Linked DNA regions of Oryza sativa Japonica Group. The protein of the gene in region 1 binds, or shares a complex with, the protein of each later gene. Links are inferred from orthologs where the notes say so. Each region holds a gene or a part of one and is shown in the gene's direction. Other genes may lie near its edges.

Evidence for each region. Proteins that work in one complex are often made in the same cells at the same time.
Region 2: the proteins of COP9 signalosome complex subunit 4 (region 1) and COP9 signalosome complex subunit 7 are in contact, whole or in part, in a cryo-EM structure (PDB 9IS6), measured with the Arabidopsis thaliana proteins. The link is inferred for Oryza sativa Japonica Group from reciprocal best matches to the Arabidopsis thaliana genes COP8 and FUS5. Residues at the interface, in NP_199111.1 of Arabidopsis thaliana: Glu269, Arg270, Ile271, Arg273, Ser310, Lys313, Leu314, Tyr315, Thr316, Asn317, Ile318, Arg319, Glu322, Thr325, Leu326, Val357, His359, Gln373, Asp383; in NP_563645.1 of Arabidopsis thaliana: Met1, Lys108, Val124, Arg125, Glu128, Asp129, Ile132, Asn133, Met136, Tyr137, Lys144, Leu145, Asp146, Gln147, Leu148, Pro155.
Region 3: COP9 signalosome complex subunit 4 (region 1) and COP9 signalosome complex subunit 8 share a complex: the UniProt entries of both Arabidopsis thaliana proteins name them as parts of the CSN complex. The link is inferred for Oryza sativa Japonica Group from reciprocal best matches to the Arabidopsis thaliana genes COP8 and COP9.

The regions. Positions count from the first base shown.
Region 1 is NC_089037.1:5,168,910-5,173,007, reverse strand, and holds the start of COP9 signalosome complex subunit 4, read left to right. Parts: upstream 1-1,298; 5' UTR 1,299-1,406; coding exon 1,407-1,787; intron 1,788-3,191; coding exon 3,192-3,295; intron 3,296-3,382; coding exon 3,383-3,443; intron 3,444-3,517; coding exon 3,518-3,610; intron 3,611-3,699; coding exon 3,700-3,800; intron 3,801-4,061; coding exon 4,062-4,098. UniProt on the Arabidopsis thaliana protein: Component of the COP9 signalosome complex (CSN), a complex involved in various cellular and developmental processes such as photomorphogenesis and auxin and jasmonate responses.
Region 2 is NC_089041.1:18,480,435-18,484,546, reverse strand, and holds the start of COP9 signalosome complex subunit 7, read left to right. Parts: upstream 1-1,312; 5' UTR 1,313-1,389; coding exon 1,390-1,560; intron 1,561-1,692; coding exon 1,693-1,768; intron 1,769-2,365; coding exon 2,366-2,454; intron 2,455-3,187; coding exon 3,188-3,277; intron 3,278-3,485; coding exon 3,486-3,530; intron 3,531-3,619; coding exon 3,620-3,690; intron 3,691-4,112. UniProt on the Arabidopsis thaliana protein: Component of the COP9 signalosome complex (CSN), a complex involved in various cellular and developmental processes such as photomorphogenesis and auxin and jasmonate responses.
Region 3 is NC_089038.1:21,626,986-21,631,168, reverse strand, and holds the start of COP9 signalosome complex subunit 8, read left to right. Parts: upstream 1-1,383; 5' UTR 1,384-1,485; coding exon 1,486-1,569; intron 1,570-1,660; coding exon 1,661-1,737; intron 1,738-1,848; coding exon 1,849-2,030; intron 2,031-2,936; coding exon 2,937-3,044; intron 3,045-4,183. UniProt on the Arabidopsis thaliana protein: Component of the COP9 signalosome complex (CSN), a complex involved in various cellular and developmental processes such as photomorphogenesis and auxin and jasmonate responses.

The DNA.
Region 1 (4,098 bases):
TTGTCTCCCCGAGGGGTCGGACCGCTCCCGTCTCGGCCCCGAGGGCCGAGGCGCCCCGACCCCTTGTGGGTTTTGCGCCGCGTATATGGGGTAGGTGAGCATAGCGGGGCTCACCTAACCACATTTATTGCGGTTTGGACGAGCGCGTCACGCCGCATGTAACGCAGTGCAGCGCGCTCGTTTATCCGGTCTGTGACCAGTCACAGACCGATCAGATCGTGGGTTAGGTGGCGACAGGCGGTCTGACGCACGCCTCGCCCCATCCCGTCAGGATGAGAGCCTCCAAGCACTCGTCCCTAGCCGGAGCCGGCGTGTTAGCTCCTGGAGATGGCACGTTGGTCCCGGTCAGATATATACCAGGCTTCATCCTAACCATTACAAGCAAGACATTGTATGAAGAGGGGCGAACATGCAGATTGATAAACTGACGCGTGGTGGACAAGAATGACCGATTTGTGACCGGTCTGACACTGGTCATGTCGTCAGCAGACAGCCATGTTCCCACGTCGCGCCTGCTTCCGGCGGAAGTGGAGGTAGGTATGGGCCGTCCCATCAGAAGGTCATTCGGACGGCAACCATACAAGTCTCCGTCTGTTTATGAAAAGATAGGATAAGTCCCCACAAAAAGAGAGAGATGGTGCATGTGGTATCCCCTTGAGGTATAAAAGGAGGACCTTGCCCACTTAGAAGGGGATTTTTTTTTCGGATCCAGAACGATCAGAGAGGGAGAGAGTAAGAGCTCTCTGGTTCTCCAGCTCTTTTGTAGCTTCTTCATACATAGATCCACAAAAACACAGGAGTAGGGTATTACGCTTCTCAGCGGCCCGAACCTGTATACATCGCCCGTGTCTTGTGTGTTTCCATTCTCGCGAACCTTCCACACACAGACTAGGAGCTTAGAATCTCACCCAGGGCCCCCGGCCGAACCGGCAAAGGGGGGCCTGCGCGGTCTCCCGGTGAGGAGCCCCACGCTCCGTCAGCCACGTAGACGCTACGTCGGCCAAAACCGCCCTCCATACTGCCGAGGGACCTTGTTTGCTCGGTTTTTGTAAGTTGAGGGACGGGTCATAACCGGTTTTGCGGTCAAAGGACGAAAATTAGACAGTCCGACAAATAGAGGGACCTAAAGTGAACTTATTCCGTGTAACTAGGGTGAATTTCTAGAAGAAAAAGGCCCAACCCAGTTGATCCTGGGCCATTATCCCGTCAGATACCGTACGTCCCACGAAGAAAAGCAGCCCAGCCCGTGGAAGCCGTCTTGCTCCCCAATTCCCCGAGCTTTTCCTCCCATCTTCCCCGCAGATCAAACGCCCCCCAAAACCCTAGGCCCCCCTTCTCCTCCGACGCCGGCTACAGTCTCCGACCCCTCCGGCGCAATCGCGGAATCGGAGGCGGCGGGCGGCGCCATGGACAACGCCCTCGCGAGCGCCGCGGCGATCGCCGACCAGCGCCAGAAGATCGAGCAGTACCGCCACATCCTCTCCTCCGTCCTCTCGTTTTCCCCGCCGGACATCTCGCAGGCGAAGCGCTTCCTCGACCACAGTAACGAGCCCTCTATCTTTGCCCCTTTACCTGTTGATTCGTATGGATTTTGTTCTGGTTCGGGTGTGACGGTTGGGTTCGGTGCGGCCGCAGTGGTTTCCGACGAGGTGCCGCTCGTGGTGTCGCGGCAGCTGCTGCAGACGTTCGCCCAGGAGCTTGGGAGGTTGGAGCCAGAGGCTCAGAAGGAGGTCGCGCACTACGCGCTCACGCAGATCCAGCCTCGTGTGGTCTCCTTCGAGGAGCAGGTTGGCACCTTTGTTTATACCCTTGGTTTCAAATCGTCAATGCTAGCCATATAGTAGTTCTGAATACATATGTTTTACTGTATAGTGGGTAGAATTGGTACAAATTTTCATGGATTTTTTCCCCGGTGATGATTATAGTTTATATGTATGGTAGTGGAGCCGTAACCGTCGCTTTTGTGATATCAATTTGAGTCATGTGGCATAATGTTATTGCAAGGGCTCATGACTCCACACAGTGCATGGAGATGATGCCGCTACCTTACTTCGTTTGGACAAGTTTATCGAGGCGAGTATGGCATGGTTCATTTTTGGAATTCATTGCCTGCCAAACTCTTAGTTTTGGAGGAATGTTTGTACTTGGTAATGATGTCAGCCAATGGTTAAGCTAGAGCATGAGATGGAGTGATGATGGGTTTGGCTAATGCCACACAGCTTGCCAGCCCATTTTATTAATTTATGGAGACTAGTTGTTCCCCTGGTGGTAGTGTACATGAAGAAAAGTATTACATGACCAAGCAATGCTATGAAGTGACTGGTGTTAGTTAGGGGTCTGAATAGGAAAGAAACTTGTCTGGAATGCAATGCATGATTCTGCGCATTGCCTGGGATGGTGGGGCCTTGTGTAAATGCTTTGTATTTCTCATCTTCCTAGTGATTTTAACATATAACATATTTATAAAGACACCGTACATGTTAAATTAATGATTGTTCATTAAGCGTTGAGTTTTTACGGATGCAGAAATTGACTATGTAATGCTATGTTTGGAGCGCATCTGATTAGGATGTATCTGTGCTGTGTGTTGGAACAAATCATTTTGTATATGATAAACAGTATTTCTTTAGGTTCTTTGTCTTTTGTTCTTTTATAGCTTATAGTGATTGCTATAAGAAAGGATAGTAGTGCAATACAAATAATTGTTGCTTCCACATGATTTGTGCCCGTGTGCATGCTACAGAAATGTAATTACTCTAGGTTGCCTTTTGGTTGATAAGAGTTCTTGCATAAGTTTCAATTTATACTGTCTGAAAGCTTTCATCTTTGTCAACCACAGAACAATTCAATGCAATTGTGGATTTGTTTTACTGAAGTGGTTACTCGTGTTATTTATGCAAGATTCCTAGTTTTAGAAGATTATGAAGAGCGGCCCAATTTGACATAATGATGTAAAAAATTGTTACGAACAATGTAACAATATATACATTCATGTTTGTTGGTGTGATAATGGGTCTTCTGTATTAGTATCTTTATAATTTACCCTATGCCAATTTTGGGCATTTTTTCTTGCAAGCTTAACCAAACTTCCGAACAAACTAACTGTTACTTTTGTTTGACCTTTGTTGGTATTATGCAGAGAAATTCTGCAATATTCTTAATCTTCTATTTGGCTGTTTATGATTTGACAGGTGGTAGTGATTAGAGAGAAGCTTGCAGAACTGTATGAGTCTGAACAACAATGGTCAAAAGCTGCACAGATGCTTAGTGGGATTGACTTGGACTCAGGGATCAGGTAGAAACTGACTTACTTTTCTTTCTGAACATGTGTATGGCTTTTTCTTCAGGACATGAAGCATCTGATTCAAATTTAAATTATCAGGATGCTGGATGACACAAACAAATTATCCAAATGTGTCCAGATTGCACGACTTTATTTAGAGGTTAGCATTGTTTGTTTGCTGTTGGCTTTAATGGTACATATTTCCAGCTTACTAATTTAGTTCTTCATTTATAGGATGATGATTCTGTTAATGCTGAAGCTTTTATTAACAAAGCTTCATTTTTGGTAACAAACAGTCACCAAGAACTTCTGAACTTACAGTACAAGGTTTGTTGATGCTGGCTCAGTTCAATATTTTTGTCTACATTAAAACAGACACTTTTACTTATTTTCTTCTTTTTTTATATATATTTAAGGTATGCTACGCTAGAATTTTGGATCTGAAGAGAAGATTCTTGGAAGCTGCACTTCGATACTATGACATCTCTCAGATTGAACAACGCCAAATTGGTGACGAGTAAGATTTTCTCTACATAGTTGCAGATTTGTTTCCCTTTTCAATTCATGTGTTTCTTATCTCCATTATCTGTAGTTTGCTTGTTCTGTGGTGACTACTCTATTTCTGCACCCTTCTAGCAATACATTATATATTTTCCAATTCCCCTGCCCCCTTGCTATTAACATCTTGGATATTTCCACTTAAATTTTACAGTTGTTACATTAGCAGCTGATACTACTTATAAAAATTCCTGATGGAACACTCTGCATGTGATCTCAGAGAGATCGATGAAAATGCTTTGGAGCAAGCTCTTAGT
Region 2 (4,112 bases), on another chromosome or scaffold:
AATGTGAAAACAACCTTGCTGGATATCTCAAAGTGGCTTGAAGGCTCCCTAGAAACTCTGGTGGTCAGTTGTGGATCAATCAGAGATAGATTCCTTGTAATCTACGACCAACTCCCAGATGAACTAGCCGATGTTATCACCCCAGCGGCATACCTCGAACAGCATCAGCTCAAGCTTGAAAAGGCTAAACAAAGGGTTGCTGATCGCCGTGAAAGAAAAGATCTTGAGGCCACCATCCAGGCTAGTAGGACTTCTATTAATGAAGAAAAGGCAAAACTTGATGAGTTGGAAGCTGGTCCAAGGTCCACTCAAGCCAACATAGATCGGCTGAATACTCGGAAGATAGAACTCCTAGCCGAATTGGAGCAGTGCAATGCACATATTGCTATTGAAGAACATAAACTTGCCGATCTGCCCAAAGCTACTGAGGATCAGAGATCATAGCTCAAATCTTCTGTCAAACATCTAGCTGATCTAATCAAGTCCCTGAAAGTAATTCTTGGATCTGATGCAGTCGATACCCAGATCATTGATGAGGTAGAACAGATTAGGCAACGAATTATATCGGCTATCCAAAAATATGTATGTGGATGAGCTAAACATGTAACATGTGAATGTATTTAGTTTGTTACCAAACATTGTTAATGCCTAGAGAATTTTGACAACAACATATTTAGTCTATCGCTCTATCCTATCAAAATTTAGTAATATTGTCAACTTGACAAAATTTTGGTATTGCTAAAATTTGAAAAATGTTTATTTTGGCAGTATAATACTCTCTCCATCTACTTTTGATAGTTATATTTTCAAATTTGAAAAATTTATTTTTGATAGGCATATTTCAATCCAACAACTTATCATCTTAATGACTTTCTCAGATTTAATGCATGACTCTCCATTCTTCCACACAAGATTGGTTGCATGGGCATCGAGAAATGTAAATATTAATGAATCGCTTGTTTACGAGAAATGACTAGTAGCATGTTTAAATGGATGATAAGTAGAATTATTTATCCTTGATCTGTGTGTCAAGATAAAATATGACTATCAAAAGCAGATGGAGGAGGAGTAATAAGAAGGCTAAAAAAAAATTGGTGTCTAAACGGGGAAGATGCATTCTTAATGGCAGCAATCCCCCACGTCGACACGCAGCCCAAGCGACCGTGGCCCTCCAGGCCCCGACTCCCGAGCACGAGTATGCGGCAACGAGCCGGACACCAGCACCACCCACCACCGTGGAGCCCAACCGAACCCGAAACCCACTCTCCCCACTACAATCCCACAAAACACAGAGAATATCACCGAGGCGAACGAAACCGAAAAGAAAGCGAAACCCCGATCCCCCAAACCCTAGCGCGTACTAGCCCCCCGGGCAAATCGCCGGCGGCGATGGCGATGGACGCGGAGCGGCGGCAGGCGGAGCTGATCGAGCAGTTCTCCGCGCAGGCGGCCGCCCTCTCCTCGTCGGCGCCGCAGCTGGCGGCGCTCGTGCTCGAGGCCACCTCCCACCCGGCCCTCTTCGCCTTCTCCGAGCTCCTCTCCCTCCCCGCCCTCTCCAAGGTATAAGGGACCCCCCGCCTCTCGCTCCGCCTGCGCCCCGCCGCGCCGCGCGTGTTTAGGGTTAGGGTTTTGGGGGTGGACCACCTCTCCTCCCCCCTCTGATTTCGATCTAATGTCAGTTCGTTGATGCAGCTCACTGGAACGCAGTATGCGTCGTCTCTGGACGTGCTCCGCCTCTTCGCCTATGGGACATTGAAGGACTACAAGAGTAAGATCACCCCCTCCCGTTGCGATTCGTACATTACATTGCCCTTATGTATGTGTTGTCATGCGTCATATGTGTATGCTTATTTGGTGCGTGAGTCTAGTGCATTGTCTTGTTGTTGTGTGTTAGGGGTACGCCCTATGAAATAGCCGCTTACCATGGACGCGATTGGCATGTGAGGGCCATAGCCCATATGTTTAATGGTTAACAATAGTGCTGATTTGTGTTAATGTTAATTCACACTTTTTTTTTGTGTTATATTGTTATAGGTTAATTTTTTGATGGGATTCACATACTAATTAATCATAATTCATCTTTGTCTTATGGTTTATATTCTGCAACAATATGTGGATAGAATTATCACATTTCTGTGCTTGAAATCATAATTTGAGCTGTGACAATCAATTTGCCTTTTCACCCACCAATATGATCAGTGTGTGTCAGGCTGTGGTTGCTAGAATTTTGTTGTTTCCTCTCTCATCGGCATGTCATTAAAACGGTCTGCAGTTTGTGGTATTCTCTGTTTATAGTAATATCAGATAAGTGCAGAACATGAACATTTACTGTTTCATTAATTGTTTTTAATTTTCATACATGTAGGTAATTCTGGCAATCTCCCTGCATTGTTACCTGATCAAGTCCGGAAGCTGAAGCAACTCAGCGTGCTAACTTTGGCTGAGTCAACCAAGGTGCAAATTTAGGCTGATACTGTCTAATATGCTATGCATTTTTTTTTTTGCTTATCCTGTGTACATAAAGTTACTAAGGGAGCGTTTAGATCCTTGGCAATGGGGATTTTAGCCTTGCATAGCAAGGGGAGTTATCATTTGGTAGTAAAAGAAAACAAATCTAACTTTCTCTGTCAATCTAGCTTAACAATTGTCAGAAAAAACTTGCTGTCAAAGGAGAGAAAAAATGGCCCCATCTTCATCGACAAGCATGTGAGCATGAACTGTTGATGGCACCAAATATCGTGCCTCGCTGCCTTGCTTATGTGGGCCATAGATGAAATGAGCAGGTTTATGCCAGGCTGAGCAAAGATAATTTAAGATCCAAATGTATCCTCACAGTTGTTTCATCAAATAATAGCTGGTCTGCATGTTTATTATCTAGGTTTTTCATTCTTCTTTCTTTACGTATGATGGGAAATAGTTCTATGCAGTTATATGTGTTAAGTGATAGTGATTCTCTGAACAGATAACAACCAATGCCAGAAACAAGCTTCTTCCATCCTATTATGTGTGCCCAATTTAGCTTTACACTATCTGTGAATACTATCTTATTCTTTATGTGCATAGCCTGTTTGAGTGTGCACTGGAAGTCAAGTTCATGTAGTATTATCTTTTACCTTAAAACTCTGTTCTATGTTTTTGCTTTAGACAATACTAAATGTGCTTGGTTTTTATTATCATTTCTATTCAGGTGCTACCATATGATCAACTCATGCAAGAATTGGATGTTTCCAATGTAAGAGAACTCGAAGATTTCCTCATCAATGAGTGCATGTACTCGGTGAGAATTTTTTTGCCTTAGGCACTTAAATCTCTATTTTCCATCTTCTAACCTCCCTAACAAAAACCATGTCATTACAAATATATCTTGTGTGGATTATTGCTCTTGTAAGCTCTCTAGCCTTTAGGATCATCGGTTTGTTTCTTGAACTTTTACACCATAGATGCTAGTATTCTAGTCAAATATTAACGTTTAATTGCTTCCCTAGGGTATTGTCAGGGGCAAATTGGATCAGCTGCGGAGGTGTTTTGAGGTCAGATGCTTGTTCTTACAAGTACATTGTTCATGGTTTCATTGTTTAGCTGGCAAATGATCCCCCTAAATTCTGTCTGTACTTGACAGGTACAATTTGCAACTGGAAGGGATCTTACACCTGATCAGCTGAACAATATGATAGATACATTATCTGACTGGTGTGTACCTTTACTTGAGTGATTGTTGCATCCCATCCCTATTTTTTGTTCACAGAAGTTTTAATGTTTGCATTTATATATGGTTCTCCCTCATATCTGATATGACCTTCTGAAAGATACATTGAGGTCATGTGTTATGGGAACTGCGGCTGGGTTATTTTGCTATGTTTATTTGTTCTAGACTCCATGTGTGTTGTCCCTTCAGGCTACTATTGTAGATGGTATGGTTTTGGTTGTTTTTTGTAGTTGGGTGCTGTAGGGATAATGTGAAATTGTGTCTTCTCTTGCCAACCCACTCTGTCTGCCTTTTAACCTTTTTAAGTTTTAATTATACACTATCCATTGTTTTTATTGTCAGTTCATAGCTTTATGTTTTAAATCATATAGAAGTGTTTCCTTGAATTTGTTAAAAGATGAATAAC
Region 3 (4,183 bases), on another chromosome or scaffold:
CCACCTTACCATACTATCGCAAAACAATAATTATAATTTTTATAGGGTGTATGAGAAAAGCACAAATTTTGATCTAAATTTATGACAGTATTACAATTTTACCCAAACTTACATTAAACTACAGACTTAAGAGGGTGTATCACAATAGCATCAAATTTACCACAATACTACAGGTCTAATGCATAATATTGTAGATCTACAAATTTGAACACTAATTTTATCACACAATCATAGCATGTAGCTCAACCCAAATATAAACTCTTGAAACTAGTAGTTTTATAATAATATTGATGTTAAAATTGTAATTTTGTGATATACATAAATTTGTAGTTACGAATAGTTCTGTGCAATTTACTCATTTCGTAACAGTTTTTATTCAACTCATTCAAACTACCATCAAATAGTATTTAATTTGTTTCGAATCAACTCATTCAAATAAAACCGTGATGTTGTTGCTATCAATGTTGATGCTGCAACTTTTCAGTAAACACGTCGAATGGGAGTGGGCATGGTAATAAAAAACTACACCTGTGATTTATTGGCTTGCAATGAGCGCACAAAAGAGGTTACCATAGTATAGCTTGCTGAAGCATTGGCTCTACGCCGCGTTGTTGCTCTCACTTGCGAAGAAGGTTTTCAAAACGCTAGTAATTCTGAATGCAGTCATACGGAGAGTTAACTCATTATCCATGGACCAATCTTCAAATGGCATAGTGATTGCAGACATCAAGGTCATAGCAGTGGGTTTCTCCTCTATTAGTTTTAATCATGTTTATCTATGTTGAATGCCGCGACTCATTTATTAGCTCGTTTCTGTGAACATTCTAGTGATGTTATGCACCGTAACGTAACCTTGGAGTGTATTCGGGAGATACTTTGTAGTAATGATTTACCATAACCAATAAAACACCGCTCTCTCTAAATAGACAAAACCAACCAGTAGTAGTATTCAATCTACTTCCAAATTTGAATCAAATAGTAGTCAAATTTGCAGCATGTTGGGGAAGCACTAGTGGGTGGTGATGGAGTCGTGGGTGCATGGCTCCATCCACTAGGGTTTAAATCCTAATAAGATAATAGATGTTTCACCGATCTCCATCTCTTAGAGTCTGCCATGTTATCTCATAAAGAAATCAAATCTAGGTGAACTTTTAGCAGGGTTTTAGTAACATAAAAGATGTTTGGCTGATTTCCGTCTCTTAGAGTCTGCCATGTAATCTCAAAAAGAAAAAAAAACTGCAGTATATGTTGGAGAAAGAAACAACCCTATCCCTCGCGGGCCAGCCTGGGCCGGACATGTCAGATGGGCCAGAGAGATACACGATTACACGTGGGTTTTTTCTTCCCCCCGTTTATTTCCTTTCCTGAAATTTCTCCAAATCTGCCCCAAATTCCGAATTTTACTCGAACTCCAAAAACCCTTCCCCTCTTCTCCCCTCGCCTCGGCCCGCCGGCGGCCGGCCACCACCGCCACCTCCTCCTCCGATGGATCTCGCCGCCGTCCACGCCGCCCTCGCCGGCAAGTCCTACTCCTCCGTCGCCCCGCTCTGCGACGACCTCTTCCTCCAGGTACCAATCCCTCCCCTCCCCACCCCTCTCCCGCCTCCCGCGACGCGAGGAGGGTTAGCGTAGCGCTCCTGACTCGGTGTTCCTCGCGCAGGCCGCGTCCCGGGGCGCCGCCACCGACGGCTGGCCCTACGCCGTGCACCTCCTCGCCCACCTCTACCTCAACGACCTGTAACGCCCCGCGATCTGCTCCCCCACCTCTCTCCCATGGAATTTTTCTGGGCTAGGGCTTCCGGGATTAATGTTGTTTTTGTGTTTCTGGGTGGGTGCGTGTGTGAGCAGGAACAGCGCGAGGTTTCTGTGGAAGTCGACGCCGCAGGAGGCGAAGGACGCGCGGCCGGAGCTCGCCGCCGTCTGGAGGATCGGGCAGTGCCTCTGGAACCGCGATTACGCGGGCGTCTACGCGGCCGCGCAGGGGTTCGAGTGGAGCCCTGAAATCGCCGACTTCGTGGCCGCCTTCCTAGGTACTGGTTGTTGCTTTACTGTTCATGATGGAAACGTGCAACAGTTGAATTATTCTGTGTCTTTGTGCAAAGTTGTATTGCTTACTAGAATGAATTGCATACTGTGGTAGTATTGTGTTGGAGGTCACCACTTTGTGGTGTGGGTTGGGAAGTCGGGAGATTCAGATGTGCATACATATACTTCATGGAGTAATTGTGGAAACGATTTATCTGCACAATCAGGCTGAATCAGCTTCCTTAATGAATACGCAAAGTTACTATTAGTAGAGTGCCCGTTAGTAGAGTTTTGTGCTGCGTAGTGTAATGGTTAAAGTGTTTATCTTGGAAATACTTGCTTCCTAAGATAGCCTTGTTCAGTGGGTTTATACTATCTCCTTAATAAGGACTAGTGATTTGATTATTTTCAGGCTGCTCATAAGAGTTTGGTTCCCAAGAAGTTCAGTTTTGTTCCTATTTTTACTTCTAATTGACAACATGATGCAACAATTCTAGATGCACAGAGGATGTTCATTAACTCATGCTTCAATCAAAATAAACACTTTGTAGTTATCATTTATGAGTGAAACTGTTGAATGTATTAATGTAATAGCATTATAATTAAACATTTGCACTTTTTTATAAGGTGATTGTTAACATTTTACCAGCAGTCATTGTGACACAGTAGTGGAACTAGAGAAGTTAAGTTCTTTCCATGAAGTGCTTACTATGACATATACCATAATAATACGTCAATCAGGATAATAAGTTAATAACATCATGATTGTTTCCCTTTTGCTTGTTTAACCAACTAATCTTCTAGTATTATTTTTATATTAGGAAATAAGTATAAAGCCTGCTGTTTTATATTTTTTTTAGTATTTATAATTGGTTAACTTGAATATCCAATATTGTTTTCTGATTACACAGAAAGCTACAGAAAGAGGATTTTCCAGTTGTTGACTTCTGCATATTCCACAATCAGCGTTGCTGATGTGGCTCACTTCATGGGGATGAATGAGGAGGATGCTACTAACTGTACATTTTCTGAAACTATCTTGTTGCTGTACTATGTTTTTTAATGTTAAGTACAATGTTCTGACTATCTTCATGTTAATCAACAGTATAGATCATAGAAGTTCTGACATGGTTAATATGGTGTTTTTAGTCATCTTTATCTGTAGAAATCATCCAAAGTCCCAATTTTAGGATACACTGCATCCTTTTCAACTTCCATAGCATTTCTTCATAGATTATAATCTTTCGTCCAATATGTGTTTTTGCAAGTTCCTTGAATTTTGGAAGGTAAATGTTTCTCCCTATGTCTCAAAATATAACAACTTTTAACCCTCAGGATTTGTCCCAAAATATAACAACTTCTCCACCAACATTCTCTTTCCAACCAATCACAACCCTCCACCATTCACTTTTCCCACCTACCTCCACTACTCATCCAATTACAACCCTCCACCATTCACTTCTATCTACTTTCTTAATAACCGTGTCCAACTCTAAAACTCTAAAACAATGATGGTGCCCCTATGGACTTCTTTTGGGTAGCACTTCTATTGTACTGACTGGATTATAACACTGCATATTACATTACTTTCCTTTCACAATAGAAAATAGAAACCTCTCCTTCATACAATACTTGAATTCCATTTTGTGCCATCAGTGTTGTCCACATTTCTCCTGGATTGAGCATTGTACATTCTAGGTTTGAATAAAGTGTCAGATATTTTGTTGTCTTTGAGACTCGGTTGTGTCAAAATTAAACATACTTTTGTGTGCATGAATTTTAGTTTGTTTTGATCATTGTGATAATGCTGGCCCATTGATTTTGATGTTCACAATGAGGTATATCCACAATTTCACATCTAATTGGCTATCTCTGTTGGCTTGAGTACTGTTGTGGAGTATAAAATTAGTAGAAATTTTGGCACAACCCACTCAAAAAGAGTTGTCTTCATTTTACCATTTCAATATAGTGAATGCATTCTTCTTCCTTCTAATTACCAAAATTTTTCGTAGGTCATTCATGTAACATATTGAAAATTATTTTTTTTTTGTGGTCAATGCATCAAGGCTCGTGTATCCCTCTTTCTATGGCTATAACTAAAACTTGCTATATTTGAAACATATTGAAAAACATATTGAATATTTTTGGAATAAGCATC